3 linked regions of the Drosophila melanogaster genome follow. The gene in region 1 interacts genetically with each later gene. Each region holds a gene or a part of one and is shown in the gene's direction. Other genes may lie near its edges.

Evidence for each region.
Region 2: of Hsp83 (region 1) and Rca1, changing one suppresses a phenotype caused by changing the other (phenotypic suppression), as found in Drosophila melanogaster (one study listed by BioGRID).
Region 3: of Hsp83 (region 1) and cup, changing one enhances a phenotype caused by changing the other (phenotypic enhancement), as found in Drosophila melanogaster (one study listed by BioGRID).

What each region holds. Positions count from the first base shown.
Region 1 is NT_037436.4:3,191,373-3,197,589, forward strand, and holds Hsp83 (heat shock protein 83), read left to right. Parts: upstream 1-1,596; 5' UTR 1,597-1,995; intron 1,996-3,126; coding exon 3,127-5,280; 3' UTR 5,281-5,687; downstream 5,688-6,217. Other genes in the region: CG14965 (uncharacterized protein), read right to left, coding at 1-1,058; CG14966 (uncharacterized protein), read right to left, coding at 5,726-6,148. UniProt on the Drosophila melanogaster protein: Molecular chaperone that promotes the maturation, structural maintenance and proper regulation of specific target proteins involved for instance in cell cycle control and signal transduction. Undergoes a functional cycle that is linked to its ATPase activity.
Region 2 is NT_033779.5:6,850,381-6,854,383, forward strand, and holds Rca1 (regulator of cyclin A1), read left to right. Parts: upstream 1-1,934; 5' UTR 1,935-2,041; coding exon 2,042-3,277; 3' UTR 3,278-3,486; downstream 3,487-4,003. Other genes in the region: l(2)k09022 (lethal (2) k09022), read left to right, coding at 3,866-4,003.
Region 3 is NT_033779.5:6,661,801-6,666,680, forward strand, and holds the start of cup (cup), read left to right. Parts: upstream 1-1,863; 5' UTR 1,864-2,349; coding exon 2,350-2,787; intron 2,788-3,130; coding exon 3,131-3,991; intron 3,992-4,463; exon of another isoform or gene 4,464-4,550; coding exon of another isoform or gene 4,551-4,880. Other genes in the region: CG13771 (uncharacterized protein), read right to left, coding at 297-1,267, 1,332-1,574, 1,636-1,777; Galt (Galactose-1-phosphate uridylyltransferase), read right to left, coding at 4,551-4,880. UniProt on the Drosophila melanogaster protein: Adapter protein that plays a central role in localization of transcripts in the oocyte and in young embryos. Maintains RNA targets in a repressed state by promoting their deadenylation and protects deadenylated mRNAs from further degradation.

The sequences.
Region 1 (6,217 bases):
AATTTCTCTTGCAATTGTGTATATCGGTTCAATATCGTACCGTTCTCAGGTGAAGCGTGGGAGTCAGTCTTTTGTGCTTCTTGGGGTAGCTTCCTTTTCTTAGCCTGCTCCTTGGTGGATTCATCTTCGTTCAGTCTATCAGCATCTGCCTCCTGCATCCCACGTTTTCTAACCACAGTCCCTTTAATTGGTCGGTACTCTTTTCTAGTTGGCACTTGCTTTTCTTGACATTTATCGGCAAGCTTTGGCATTTTCATAACGTCAATAATACAACTTTTTGATTTAATTTGCTTTTCTGATTCCTTGGTGACTGTTCGCATCTTGCTTGTATCATCAGTTTGTTCTTTTGGGAGCTGCTCTTCAAGCTGAAACAACTCATTCTCGCTTCCTGATTGACGCTTTACTGGTCTTTTAATCAATTTGATGCCCAATGAAGGCTGAAGTTGACTTATGATATCTAGAATGTTTTGAGGCATAGCCGAAGCGCTTGTTGATGTTGTAGAACTCTTATGCGCCACCGTTGTTTTCTCCGTGTGTACAACCGGCTGTTCCTGCTCCGTAGCCAGCACTTCGTCGGCTTCGTCTTTCCCTTGCGGTTCCTCCTCTTCTGTCAACTCTACTGTATTTCGTTTCTTAACAACATCCAAATTCTGTGTCTCACCATCCACGAATCCCAGAGGACACTCGAAATCTTTAGGTGGTATTAGGTGTTGCTGCTTTGGAGGCGTCAACTTCACGAGAAGAGCTTCACCGTTCTGGTCGAGATTTTCATAGTCTAGTGCCAGATCCCTGTTGATCCTGAACAAAGTGGGCGTCTGCATTGGGATGAGTCTGTCCATTTTGTAGTTCATGAAGCATTCCGCTCGAAAGTGCCGGGCACAAACTGTTTTGGCTGCCAGTTTGGACGGCGGTGCATTTGAAACGTCAGGGTTTGAACAATTCCTGACCCAATCTTTCAACCTCTTCGGATCCTTAACGGGGAACTTGAAGAAGTGCATATTGGGGTTGCGGCTAGAACCCACCGGACAATCACGAAAACAACACTTAGTGCCGCCCATTTGTTTAAATATAAGCAAACAACTTTTATGTTATTAGTGGTGGAAGTGTTAGCGTCAGCTGGTGATATCGATGGGAGGCATCGATAACAGAATTGACCGAAACCAAATGATCGATATGACACTTCTTAATTAATGAGAGATTTTTTACTTGACTGGGCTTGTAGCAGGTTTTGCACAGAAGCAATTATTTTCCGGAATGTGAAATGTCTGCTTTTTAGCTAATTACAACAAAAACTTTCCAATTTTTGTTCCCCAAACCCACTCAAGTGATTTCAAATTTTACCGTCCGCTTAAAATGGAACTAGTTTATTCCAGAGGAACCAGCTTGCACCACCAAGTCTCTGAAACTCTGGAAATATCGATAGTCTGGTGGAGAAAAGTATTCATAAATATAAATAAAAATTAACAGGTCATAAGCTGATTTGTTTATTATTTACTGTTAAAACAAGTAAAATAATATTGGGAACAATTAAATTTTCCATTTTCCTAATTACAGTATAAGCCTAGTGGGCGTTTTGATATCCAATTGTAATGTTTTAAGCAATCCCAGTGGGCTTTGCTCAATCGTTCGGACCACTTAGACGAATTTCCACCAAACTTAGTTCAGTATAATTTTTGAATTCGCCCGCACAGGTTGCGCACTTTTCGACCGTATCACAACACTGATCTACCCTAGTATTCACAGGAAGTTGCATCCCTGGCATCCAGAAGCCTCTAGAAGTTTCTAGAGACTTCCAGTTCGGGTCGGGTTTTTCTATAAAAGCAGACGCGCGGCGTTTGCCGGTTCGAGTCTTGAAAAAAATTTCGTACGGTGTGCGTCGTAACAACAAGCAGCGTCTGAAAAGTTTTGTGAATTTCCAATTCTATACAAAGCAAAGTGAAAATATCTGTATTTTTACCTTTATTCTGTGAATAGAACGAAAAACATACATACAAGGTGAGTAATGCAAATTACAAGAAAAGAGTGAATAGTTTATCAGTGGCTATGGCCAAAATGTGCATTTTGCGTGGTCCTGTGCATCTCGAATGTTCTTGACCCAAATGTGAGATATTGATTTTAAATTTCTAGGAGCCAAGTTTAAGAATTTTTTTTGATTAATTAAGAGGTGGCAACGTGCAAATTAACTCAAAATGCCGGTTTCTTTTATTTTTTGTCGCTTGGACGCATCTTCCAGAGGTTTCTATGCTTTAGCATGAATTAAACATCGTGCCAAATAGGCCTTTTAATTATATATTACTGTCCTTTATTTACAATTACATGTGGTTTATAGAATACAAGATTAATTTTTGTTTAATGCAATGGTCTTTTAGCGCTAAATCGAATTATGCCGCTCTTTTTAGGGGGTGACAATGCGCAAATCACATTTGCCGCTCGAGAATGTTCTAGAGGTTTCTATGCTTTAGCATGAATTAAACAGCGTGCCAAATAGGCTTTTTAATTATAAATTACTGTCCTTCATTTACAATTACACGTGCTTTCTTTGCATTCCCATTTTAAATTGCACATGCCGCATACGCACACATGCACGCCCATGACTAATACTTTCAAGTAAAAATGTGGCGTCAGTAAGCAAATTCTGTTAAATCGGTTTTTTAATCCTATTTGCTCTATTTTAATTGGTTGGTTGCTACTAGCAACTTGCTAGGCGAATTAGTTTTCCTTTGGCTTCTAGATGCTTCCACAAACTTCCTTGGTGAAGTACGAATTTTCAATGCAATGCTCACTCACACAGACACGAGTTTGCACACAGCAGGGGTAGAAAAATTATCAACCGACCCAATTTGCATAATTATATTTAAATATTTAAATTTAAAACATTATTTTGCAACTTAAAATCAATTCTGTTGGCTAATTGAAATTAAAATTCCATTTTACGGGTTGCAAAGTGAATGCTATAATTTTGACCACCACTGTACTTGTATATGCGCATGTTAAATGAGGCATGTGCAAAAGAGAAAGAAAGAAAAAGAATAAAACCGGAGCAGCTGCTGAAAATGCAGCTGCTTTTCCTTAGTGTTGAACCCACAGACTATAACTAATCCTAATGATTTTGTAAATCCATTGCAGATGCCAGAAGAAGCAGAGACCTTTGCATTCCAGGCTGAGATTGCTCAGCTGATGTCCCTGATCATCAACACATTCTACTCGAACAAGGAGATTTTCCTGCGCGAGTTGATCTCGAACGCTTCCGATGCCCTGGACAAGATCCGCTATGAGTCCCTTACTGACCCCAGCAAGCTGGACTCTGGCAAGGAGCTGTACATCAAGCTGATCCCTAACAAGACGGCTGGTACTCTGACCATCATTGATACCGGTATCGGTATGACCAAGTCCGACCTGGTCAACAACTTGGGAACCATTGCCAAGTCCGGAACCAAGGCCTTCATGGAGGCTCTGCAGGCTGGTGCCGACATTTCCATGATCGGTCAGTTCGGTGTGGGTTTCTACTCCGCCTACCTGGTCGCCGACAAGGTGACTGTCACCTCCAAGAACAACGATGACGAGCAGTACGTGTGGGAGTCCTCTGCCGGAGGCTCTTTCACAGTCCGTGCCGACAACTCTGAGCCCCTGGGCCGTGGCACCAAGATCGTGCTGTACATCAAGGAGGACCAGACCGACTATCTGGAGGAGAGCAAGATCAAGGAGATTGTTAACAAGCACTCCCAGTTCATTGGCTACCCCATCAAGCTGCTCGTAGAGAAGGAGCGCGAGAAGGAGGTCAGCGACGATGAGGCTGATGATGAGAAGAAGGAAGGTGATGAGAAGAAGGAGATGGAGACTGATGAGCCCAAAATCGAGGATGTTGGCGAGGATGAGGATGCCGACAAGAAGGACAAGGATGCCAAGAAGAAGAAGACCATCAAGGAGAAGTACACTGAGGATGAGGAGCTGAACAAGACCAAGCCCATCTGGACCCGCAATCCCGATGATATCTCCCAGGAGGAGTACGGCGAGTTCTACAAATCCCTGACCAACGACTGGGAGGATCATCTGGCCGTCAAGCACTTCTCCGTGGAGGGTCAGCTGGAGTTCCGTGCTCTGCTCTTCATTCCCCGTCGCACGCCCTTCGATCTCTTCGAGAACCAGAAGAAGCGCAACAACATCAAGCTGTACGTGCGTCGTGTCTTCATCATGGACAACTGCGAGGACCTCATTCCAGAGTACTTGAACTTCATGAAGGGTGTGGTCGACTCCGAGGATCTGCCCCTCAACATCTCACGTGAGATGCTGCAGCAGAACAAGGTCCTAAAGGTGATCCGCAAGAACCTGGTCAAGAAGACCATGGAGCTGATTGAGGAGCTCACCGAGGACAAGGAGAACTACAAGAAGTTCTATGACCAGTTCAGCAAGAACCTGAAGCTGGGTGTGCACGAGGACAGCAACAACCGTGCCAAGTTGGCCGACTTCCTTCGCTTCCACACCTCTGCCTCCGGCGACGATTTCTGCTCCCTGGCCGACTACGTGTCGCGCATGAAGGATAACCAGAAGCACGTGTACTTCATCACTGGCGAGTCCAAGGACCAGGTCAGCAACTCTGCCTTCGTGGAGCGCGTCAAGGCCCGTGGCTTCGAGGTGGTCTACATGACCGAGCCCATCGATGAGTATGTCATCCAGCACTTGAAGGAGTACAAGGGCAAGCAGCTGGTCTCTGTCACCAAGGAGGGTCTGGAGCTGCCTGAGGATGAGAGCGAGAAGAAGAAGCGCGAGGAGGACAAGGCCAAGTTCGAGAGCCTGTGCAAGCTGATGAAGTCCATCCTGGACAACAAGGTCGAGAAGGTGGTGGTGTCCAACCGCCTGGTGGATTCGCCCTGCTGCATTGTCACTTCGCAGTTCGGCTGGTCCGCTAACATGGAGCGCATCATGAAGGCCCAGGCTCTGCGTGATACCGCCACAATGGGCTACATGGCCGGCAAGAAGCAGCTGGAGATCAACCCCGATCACCCAATTGTGGAGACTCTCCGCCAGAAGGCCGATGCCGACAAGAACGATAAGGCCGTCAAGGATCTGGTCATCCTGCTGTTCGAGACCTCTCTGCTGTCCTCTGGATTCTCGCTGGACAGCCCCCAGGTGCACGCCAGCCGCATCTACCGCATGATCAAGCTGGGCTTGGGAATCGACGAGGACGAGCCTATGACTACCGACGATGCCCAGAGCGCCGGAGATGCCCCCTCGCTGGTTGAGGACACAGAGGACGCTTCCCACATGGAGGAGGTCGATTAAGCGACCAGTCGAAACAAACAACCAAAATTCATTCTATCACTCGCATTCACATACACAATTTACTTGCGTTTCGAACTTTTATACTGAGTTTACTACGGCCGAGTTAAATTTTGTATTCATTAACATTTTGCCGCGTTATAAGCGACAGACATACGCTTAACTCATAAAAAAGCAGGAATAACTCGTTAAATGGTTAGGTTCTCACAGAACATTCAAGAGCAGTTGTCGTTTTAAGAACTTATAATTTAGAATCCAAGTAATTTATGTAAAAAACTAAAGACTACATACGCGCCCTAGTTGGTAGAGCTATATAAAGAATCGAGTATATATATAATTAAGGTTTGATGACCCGATCGATGATAAACATAAAACCAAATAAACAACAAGCAAATGTGTTTTAAAAATCTAACTTCTGAGCGAGTATTTATTGGGGGGAATAAACAATCTATGAATCGGATTCTTTGCGCAGCAGCTGCTCAATGGCCTCCACCGTGGACACTCCCTTGGTTATCATTATTATCTTGTTTCGCGATCGAGATCCCTTGTCCAAAGAAACGTCGCTCTTTCGAAGACCTAGAACTTTCGACAGAAACTTGACCAGTTCGGCGTTAGCTTCTCCCTCGCTGGGCGGAGCGGCGATTTGGACGCCCACTCCTTCAAAGCCAATTCCTGTGATTCCGTTCTGCTTAGCCCCCGGCTTGGCAAGGATTTGTATGCATATATTGCCGCTCTTATCGACTGAAATCGGACTGGCTTCCTTAGCCGGCATCGCTTTTGCATCGTTTTTCGCACTTTCAACGCCGGCCTTTGATTTCCCCTTGCTCTTCGACATTATTTGGGCGTTGACCGATGTAAACAAGCGGCGCATTAGCTTCTTGGCAATTATTTTAAATATTTTGTGTTTTTAAATGCATTTTAATAGCAACTAGTGTTTAAT
Region 2 (4,003 bases), on another chromosome or scaffold:
TCTTGTAATATTTTATATAATACTTTAAATATCATTGCAGTTATCTTCTATATACACCTAAGATAAATCAATGCCTAGCACATATCCCTAGTTCGACTCATTCGGCTCCCATTGACAAAGTCATTAGTTAACATCCCTCTGATCTCAAAGCAAACAGGGTGACCACGACTTCCCAGGACCGAACCAAATGAACCACAGATTAATCCCAAAGCCACGACGACAATTAATATGCTGCCATATCCACGCCCGAAAAAAAAAAAAGATGGGCAAACCGGTCAGTGGAAAAGAGATTAGAACAGTCAAATGACTTTAAATTAAGCCGATGTGCGTCTGTCCGTCGATTTAATTAAAATCAAAACAAAATCTTTGCCCGCCGACACGCCCCTTTTGGTGGCAGCAAATAGACAAATAATAAAACCATAAATAATGCAAAACAATAAACGAGCAAGTATTCATAAATTATTAACGCAGAAGCTGCTGGCCGACAAAAGGCAGCGCAAATACCCAAAATATTTTGCCAAAGCATTTAGAAGGACAATGAGGCACGAACCAGATGACAGAATCCGGGGTAGAATAGCAAATCCCCGCAGCAAATAATTGAGCCTCATAAAGGAAATATCATTCATTGATTTTCCCCCGGCAACCACAACAGATTCTCGACCTCTCATCTTTCCCAGCAAGTGGATGAAGTCGTCGGGCGGTTGCAAATGGTCCTTGGAATGGGAATGGGCACGAGCATGGGTTGGCCAGTGGTGGTGGGTCATGGGGCTTCATTTAGCTGACTCTATGGACAGCTGACGAAACTATCCACCTAGCGGCGAAGGAAGACTTTCACATGAATCCCAAATCTATGCCCCGTCATGATTTGCACAAAAAACTTGAGCTGGCAAATTTGTCAGTGGGCACAAAGGACGCGGCAAAGAAGAAGATGAGGGAAGCGGAACGGAAAAAATCTAAGGACGAGTCAGGGAGAACAAATGATAAATTATTGAGGGATTTTCGTTAATTTGATGACACTGATGATGGCCAAGGCCAGATTATCCTGACTGCCGAATTTTGATTGGGCCAAACAGGGAACAGAAGACATATCTCATAAAATAATTTGTAATGATTTCAATTTTAATAGATATAGATATACTTATGTTCGATTAAAATCTTTTTGTTATAGGCGTAGAAATTTAAATAGCACCATATGTCAGCTAATCGAGAGTATTTTTATAAGCTTATCAACATAATTTTACCAATGTCTTCAAAGCTAAGACGATGAAATACACTTTTAATATATATAATATAATATAATAATATAATATAATATAATAATATAATAATAATATATAAGATGTTAAACGGAATCCCGTTTTTATAAAGTGAATGTTTTCAAACTATTACTTATTTCCATATTTAATAAGTGAAAGTTTTCTATTTTCGAATTGGTATTAAAGCAATAAGCTGAGTATATAGGTATTTATTTTATACTTATGGCGTAAGGCATGGAAATATAATTTATTGAAAGTCAAATTCTTGGTGTTTTTAACTTAATGAACTGATTATACATATTATTTATCACTCTTATTCTTTATTTTACTTCTTTTTTCGAGAGCATTAGTCGCAAGTGCGTCTTCGCTAGCTTTGGAATGTGTACTCGCTAATATGGAAGTATGTACACACTGCATAGAATGAAAAAACGCTATCTTATTCCAGAACCTCAAATCTTGTACAGCTTGAACTCTTTTAGACATGTTTATAAATGGCTGAAGTTGCTTATGTTAATAGGAGTCTACGATTAACTGTCAGATTCCAATAATCCGATCAAGTGGCATCTTTTAATGCACAAGTTTAAATGGTTTGCCTAACAGTCACGATAATATATATCAAATGGTTGGCAACGCGATACGTAGCATTCTGAGTTGACCCGACAATGAACTGGTATCTATTTAGTAGCCAGTTAGTATTTTATTGGGGCGGTCACACTGATCCGTACCCAAAAACAATCAACCGATGCGAAAAGCATAACAATTCGAAAGTTTAAAATTCGGTCAAGATGAGCGCCTATTATCGGCGCGCGGCGTTGCGGAAGAAGAGCCCAAGCCGAGGGTCATCCTTCGAGTTGGAGATGAACGAGTCTGGCTACACATCCTTCCTGGCGCTGCACAATTCCACCGCGGAGACGCCATTTTTATTGGAGGACGCTGAGGGCGAAAACTGTCGCAATGCATCGAATACCACAACATTCTTTCGGGGGCTGAACACGCCCAGTGGCCACCAGGAGCAGGACCTTTACTGGGGCAAGCCCTATCCCAGAACACAGCCCCAAAAGAAATTTTCCGCGGAGGAGGAGCCTTTCTCTATGACTCCGCGTCTGCAGGATGAGCATAGTCTGCCCAAGCGACGCAAGAAACACTTTCAATCGCCACACAGTAGCCCCAAGAAGTCCAAAAAGCTGCTCTTTCCCCACATAGAAGAACCGCCCAAGAATCGCTTCTACGGCGGTGTCGAAAAGCTGGATATCGTGGCCAAGCTGGCGCAATGGCAACCGGCACTGCAGTGCATACTGCGTCATGTGGGCGCCCACACGCTGGACGTGATGACCAAGGTATCGCCGGCCTGGAAGCAGGCTGTTTATCGCAGCCAACGCGACTTGGAGCGCCTACAGAACCACCGACTCAAATTGAATCTAACCAAAGAGAATCCTCACGTGCCCAAGCGGTGCAGCCATGTGCCCAAGGCAAACCACACAGTGCCATTGCAGACCTCGAACCATAGCAGCCTGGCCAACAGCGCCGCCTCGCTAATGGACTCGGGCAACTCGAGCATCCACCTGATGGACGTGGATGCCGGAAGGGTGCTGCGCGAGCAGACGCAGCGCGTCAAGTGTCCGCGATGCGGTCGAGGCAGCCGGGTTTTCATAAGCGAGGCGGCCAAGTGTGGCGAAAACCTATTGTCGCAAACTCTGCCTATTGGACGTACAACCAGCACATTCCCCTGCATGACGGGTCCGCCTCTCAAACGCTTCCTGTCCCTGGATCTTGACGAGGTCAGGACTTCACCGCAAGGACCGCCATATAACTTCGCCGAATGCACCAGTGTCATCTGCCAGTTTCGGTTCTGCGTCAACTGTCTGTGCAAGTCGCATCCCGGCGAGCGTTGCCTGGTCACCGAACTGGACACACCATCCAAACTGATGATGCCACGGGAGCGACTGACGCCGCCACAACGTGCCCAGAACCGTGATCCGAAAATCACAAGGAAGAACTCGCTCAAGCGGCTCTGCTTTTAGCTTTATCATAGGCTTTTAACTATTACGATTAGTATTCGATTTTTTTAAATCTCATTAATTTCGTATTATGTCCATCGCATTAAGTTCCATTTCATCACGTACATTCATATATATGTTTTTAAATCGTTCCATGTAAGGTTTGTCGGAATTCTGTACCTCTGCGAGATTAAGTATTTTTTACACATGCAAAATATATAAATCATTTTTAGAACTATAATTGTTATAATTATAACTGGGGGAAAGTGATTCCTGTTTATTAACATGTAAGGCTTTGTTATTATACATCATTATAACAGGCTTCAAAGGCAGCCTTAATATGTTAGGCAAGTCTTAAAAATATTTTATTATTATTGATTGCATTGCATAAAATAAATTCAAACAGAAAATGTTTAAAATCAGCTGTAGTATACTGGTTTGGGTCTTGGCTAACGCCAATGCGCGCTATTTACCGTAAGCTACTTTGTGTACTGCCAAGAGATCTTTGGCCACACCAACAAAACACGTGTGGAGTGCGGTTGCCGCACATTTATTGTTCTCCGTTTTTACCTTTAATTAACTTGAGAAAAAAGGAAAAAACGATCATCCAAAATGAGTACTGCGTTGGCACAGCAGCTGCAGAAACTGGCTGCGCCGCAGTCGTCGGTAACTTTGGCAGATGCACGAAGTCGCGCCTCCATACTCTTCGATCCCAAGGAGGCGGCCACCAAGGATCGGCGGTCCATTTAT
Region 3 (4,880 bases), on another chromosome or scaffold:
AAGAATTCCAGTCATACATGGTGGTATGTGTATGTGCAGTTTTATAATTAGTGGTTTTTAAAATGTATTCTTAATCCATTTTTTCCTGTCAACCGAATTAATTAACAAACAATGTGTACGAATAACATGCAAAGGATAAATTATTGTAGTCATATTTGGTTTTGTGTTCACAATATGTTTACATATATGTTTAAATAAACGGCGTTTCGCTGAAAAAATGTGTATATTCAATTAATTCATCAAATGAAAATATCTATAATGCAAATCGACAGCATATGTTTTATTAAATCCAATCTCTAATTGTCTTTTTTCGCTCCATTGGTTTCTACGGCAGATCCATTGTCCATGTCGTGACTTACTGATTCACGGAATCGATTGAAGTAGCGACGACCAGTTAGGTACCACAGCGCCTCGTGATAGCTTCTGGGAAGGATCTCCGGAACTGCTTTGCTGCAGGAGTAGGTCAGGTGCAGCACATTGCACTTAAGCTCCGTAAAGCTATTGCCATCGATTGCATTCACCACCGTCAGCAGCTGAATGTAGTTTTCGTGGGTGAAAACCACGTACGCCTTCAGTTTTATATAGCTATGGACGGGAATGGAATGGGCGAACGTAACGTCCGCAATGAAGCGGATCATGCAACGCTGGTTGGAGTAGAGGGAGGCTGTCATGTAGCTAATCTCGATAGCCTTGCGGATGATGAACCCTCCGAAAATGGTGTTCGATTCGTTTCGGTTCTCCGGGAACGGATGCATCAGGGTTCTGCGGCGCCACGTGGACATCCAGCGGGAATTCGGTGGTAGAGTAGTCATATCACTCGGCGAAGGTCCGTCATCGCCCTTGGTTCGGGTAAATAGCTCGTACATGAGCTGCTGTTCCTCCTTGGTGGGCTGCTGCGACTCCAGGCGATACAACGCTTTGGCACGCTCCTGGTGCCGCTTCTGCGCTTCCTGGTGTAAACTTTCTTCCAGCTCATTGGCCGGCACCAGAGGATTGACAGGAGCAGGGCCATTATTGATGGCATCGCGAGCCTCTACCACAAAAATGCCCTTTGCCAGCAACATTCCGCTTTGTCGCACATATGCCGTGACCTCCATGAAGTTATTGTCCGTATATGAAACGTGACCGGAGAGGGACACATCTGCATCCGCAATAAACTTGTCTTGCAAGAAGTGGGCGTGGTCCACCAGCATGGTGATAAAAGTGTATGGCAGCGGCACACCCTCCGGCAGATTGGGCAGATGGATGTGAAGATGGCAGATCCACACTGCAAGGCCACTCTCATTAATCAGGTATTTGGAGTAGTTAGTTAGTATACTTTACTTACTTACCTGCAAGAAGGTCAAGTTCCTCAATTATCCTGCCCATGCGAAGCAAGCCTCGCCCGTAAACGAATCGTTGCCTCAACAGAGCATCTGTTTCCAGGAGCACCTGGGCAGTCGTTTGTGAGTCCAGCATGGAGCGATTGGGCAGTTCGTCTTGCTTCGGCTGAAACTTGAGCAGTCCATCCCGGCTCTTGGGAATGATGTGGTAGCCTCCTTCCACGCCGACGTGCTCACGGATTTTCTTCGCCACTGTGCTTGGTATTGGGAGTTGGATAAGTGGACGATAATGTGGAGGTTTACCCGCGGTTACCATCTGCCATCGTGCCCGAGCGGTGCCCCGAATCCAGCAGCTCCCTCCCGGATTCCATGAACGAGTGACGAATTGCACCCAGTTGGTGCCACGGGTGTCGCACGGCGATCACCCTTCTGCCAAAGTGCTGGCTCAAATTCATTTAAATTTTGGGTTTGTGTGCTCCGCTATATTCATATGTATAGTTGTCAAATAATAAGATACAGTACGTTAAAATCGTTTGCACTTAATTTTTTAAATTTGTAACAGAATAACGGCTTTTATGTAATCGAAATCTTAAGAATCACAAGTACTAGTTTCCAAAGTTATCACGTTCCAGGCTTAGCTACTTTCTGTTGTCAAAAGTAAATGTCGTAGCGCATTATTAATAAATTCGCTGTTTTGTTTAGGAATCAAAGAATTAACTATTTGAAAGCTGTATAAGTCGCAGATCAGTGTTTGTCAACACTGGTCAATCCATCCTCCATCTTCCACCATTCGCTTTCGGTATTTTTTCCTATTCCTGTCCTGCTTACTCATCGTAGCAGCGCCGAATAACGGATCCTAAGATCGAACGAACCTGTGCTAAACGTGATTTCGTTCAATTTCTCATACATTTCAATATATTTGACCCGATCAAAAGTACTCGTTTTAAGTTTTAACCAAAAAAAAAACCAACAATTAGTGAGTATGGACCCTATGAAAGAGGAGGCGATCGAATTGAATGGCCATGCTATGCAAATGGCCGAAGCTGAGCAAGAAAATGGCGCTGGCGCCCTGAAAATTGCCACCAATGCGGGTGCAACCGATCGTCCAGCGCATCAGCAGCTTCCGCTGCCAGTCGAAGATCAGCAGGATGAGGTGCTGACCCCCGCTGAGAAGGGCAAGTTCGAGTACCCGCCCCCTCCACCGCCACCAACTCCAGTCCAGGCTCCGCTAGCCACCAAGGCCACCGCTCTGAATGCCAGTCAAGAGCATGACGACGACGAGGCCAACTCCGAGAAGTGGGAGGATCCGTGCGCTCCGCCCCCGCCTCCTCCGCTGCCGACTAGCGCTTTCCTGGCCACCGGACTGGGCTACCTCAAGCTGCCCGCCTTCAAGCTGAAGGACGCACTGGAGAAGGCCATCACCAAGTTGGAGGCCAACAAGCGGACGCTAAAGGCCAGCCCTGAGGTGAGTTCATTACATATAACATTTTTAATTTTATTATTAGCAGTGCACACTGTTGTCAGATTATATATTTATATTGAAATACATTTTAAATTTAACTTTTCTTGAGTCAAACTTGATATTAGTCTAAAATCTTCGCAATATTTATTGGCCAACAAAGCACAGTATTAAACACGTAAATGGTATTAGGAATCAGAGCAGCTCTGATACAAATGTCGTTAAAAATTTAGTTAAAGAAACTTTGACTTGGCATTCATATATTCGACACTTATTTTACATCGAGTACAGACAGGCACTCTCATATATCATGAAGTTTTTTCAATGTTGTTTTTATTTTGGCAAACAGTCTTCTCGTTCCATCAAAAACAAGAATGTGGTGGCCCTGGAGATGTTACCCAGGCGCTCAAACCCAGAAACGATCGGCGATGGATCCATGTTGGCATCCACATCCACGGCTGTTATGCTGCAGACCAAAAAGCCCGCCGTTATTGTGGAGATGGAGAGGCGTTGTAAGATCATCAATTTACTGGCCAAACAGAATCAAATCCTCGAATCCATTTCGGGGGAGGCCATTCCGATGCATGGACCCTCGAAGCATCTGCACGAGGACGAGGGTCTGACCCTGCAAGTTCTCTCGGCCCGAGCATCCACACCGTACACACAGCCCTCCAGCATGTTGTCCTGCACGGCCGTTAGTTGTGACCTGGAGCACGATTCGCCGCGGAAGCAAGTGGCCAGCAAGGAGGCCGTGCCGGAGCAGCAGTCTAGTCAGGTGCAGCAAAAGCGTCCACCCAGCACAGGCATTCACAAGCCAGGAAGTCTGCGAGCACCCAAGGCTGTTCGTCCTACTACTGCTCCGGTGGTCAGCAGCAAGCCGGTCAAGAGCTATACCCGCTCCCGCCTGATGGACATTCGCAACGGGATGTTCAATGCCCTGATGCACAGGTCCAAGGAGAGCTTTGTGATGCCTCGCATCGCCACCTGCGACGACATTGAGTTGGAGGGAAGGCTTCGCCGCATGAATATTTGGCGCACCTCGGACGGCACAAGATTCCGGACCCGCTCCACCACAGCTAACTTAAACATGAACAACAACAACAACAATGAGTGCATGCCTGCCTTCTTCAAAAACAAAAATAAGCCGAACCTAATCAGTGACGAGTCCATCATCCAGAGCCAACCGCCCCAGCCGCAAACGGAGTTCCAAGTAAGCTAGTTAAACTTATACTATTCTACTCAATTTTGCCATATATTCTATATAAAATAGACTTGGTTAGCTTAATGGAAAACTTATGATTTGAAAAGGAAAAAGTGATTGTGACAGTGCGGTAATTGTTACAGTTACACATGGCGTCGATTCATTTGAGTACCTCGACCATCTGATACCCCTTCCTTTGTAGGCCAAATTGTCTTTTTGGTCTGCTCAGAAAAGCTCTTTTATGAAAAATCATATTTCCCGCCTTTTCTGCTTAGAAAAAATCGCTTAATCGATTAAGAACATTTTCCCCACTTTTGCATTAGGTAACACAAAGTCGCATTATTCCTGAGCTTATCTGATAAATCAATGATTGCATTGCATGACCTCCAGAGGTCTTTGGCAATCATGCTGATCATTGGCTGGACCCTCGCCACAGTCAAATCACTAATCTAGAACATTTTACAACTGATTGCGAATAAGTATGAAGTAATTACTACAGTCGTATTAGACTATTTCCTTTTATTGAATTCTAAACCATCTGGGATTCTACAAATACCCTCGAGCGAAATCACTTCTCTAGATAATGACACTTTCCATCGACCTCCCGCAACCTTTGGGCTGCCTGTTCGGGAGTCAGATCCCGCTGGGCCATGGCCAGCAGCTCAAATCCCACCATGAACTTGCGCACGGAGGCAGAACGAAGCAGCGGCGGATAGTAGATGGCGTGCAGGGTCCAATGAGCACTGGATGCGTGGGCATGCTCCGGCCCAGTCGGTGCTCCATGCCAACCCATCGAGTAGGGGAATGAACACTGGAACAGATTGTCATACTTGGTGGTCAGCTCCTTTATGGTCAGCGCCAAGTTGTATCGCTGTTCTGCGGTAAGATCATTGATCCG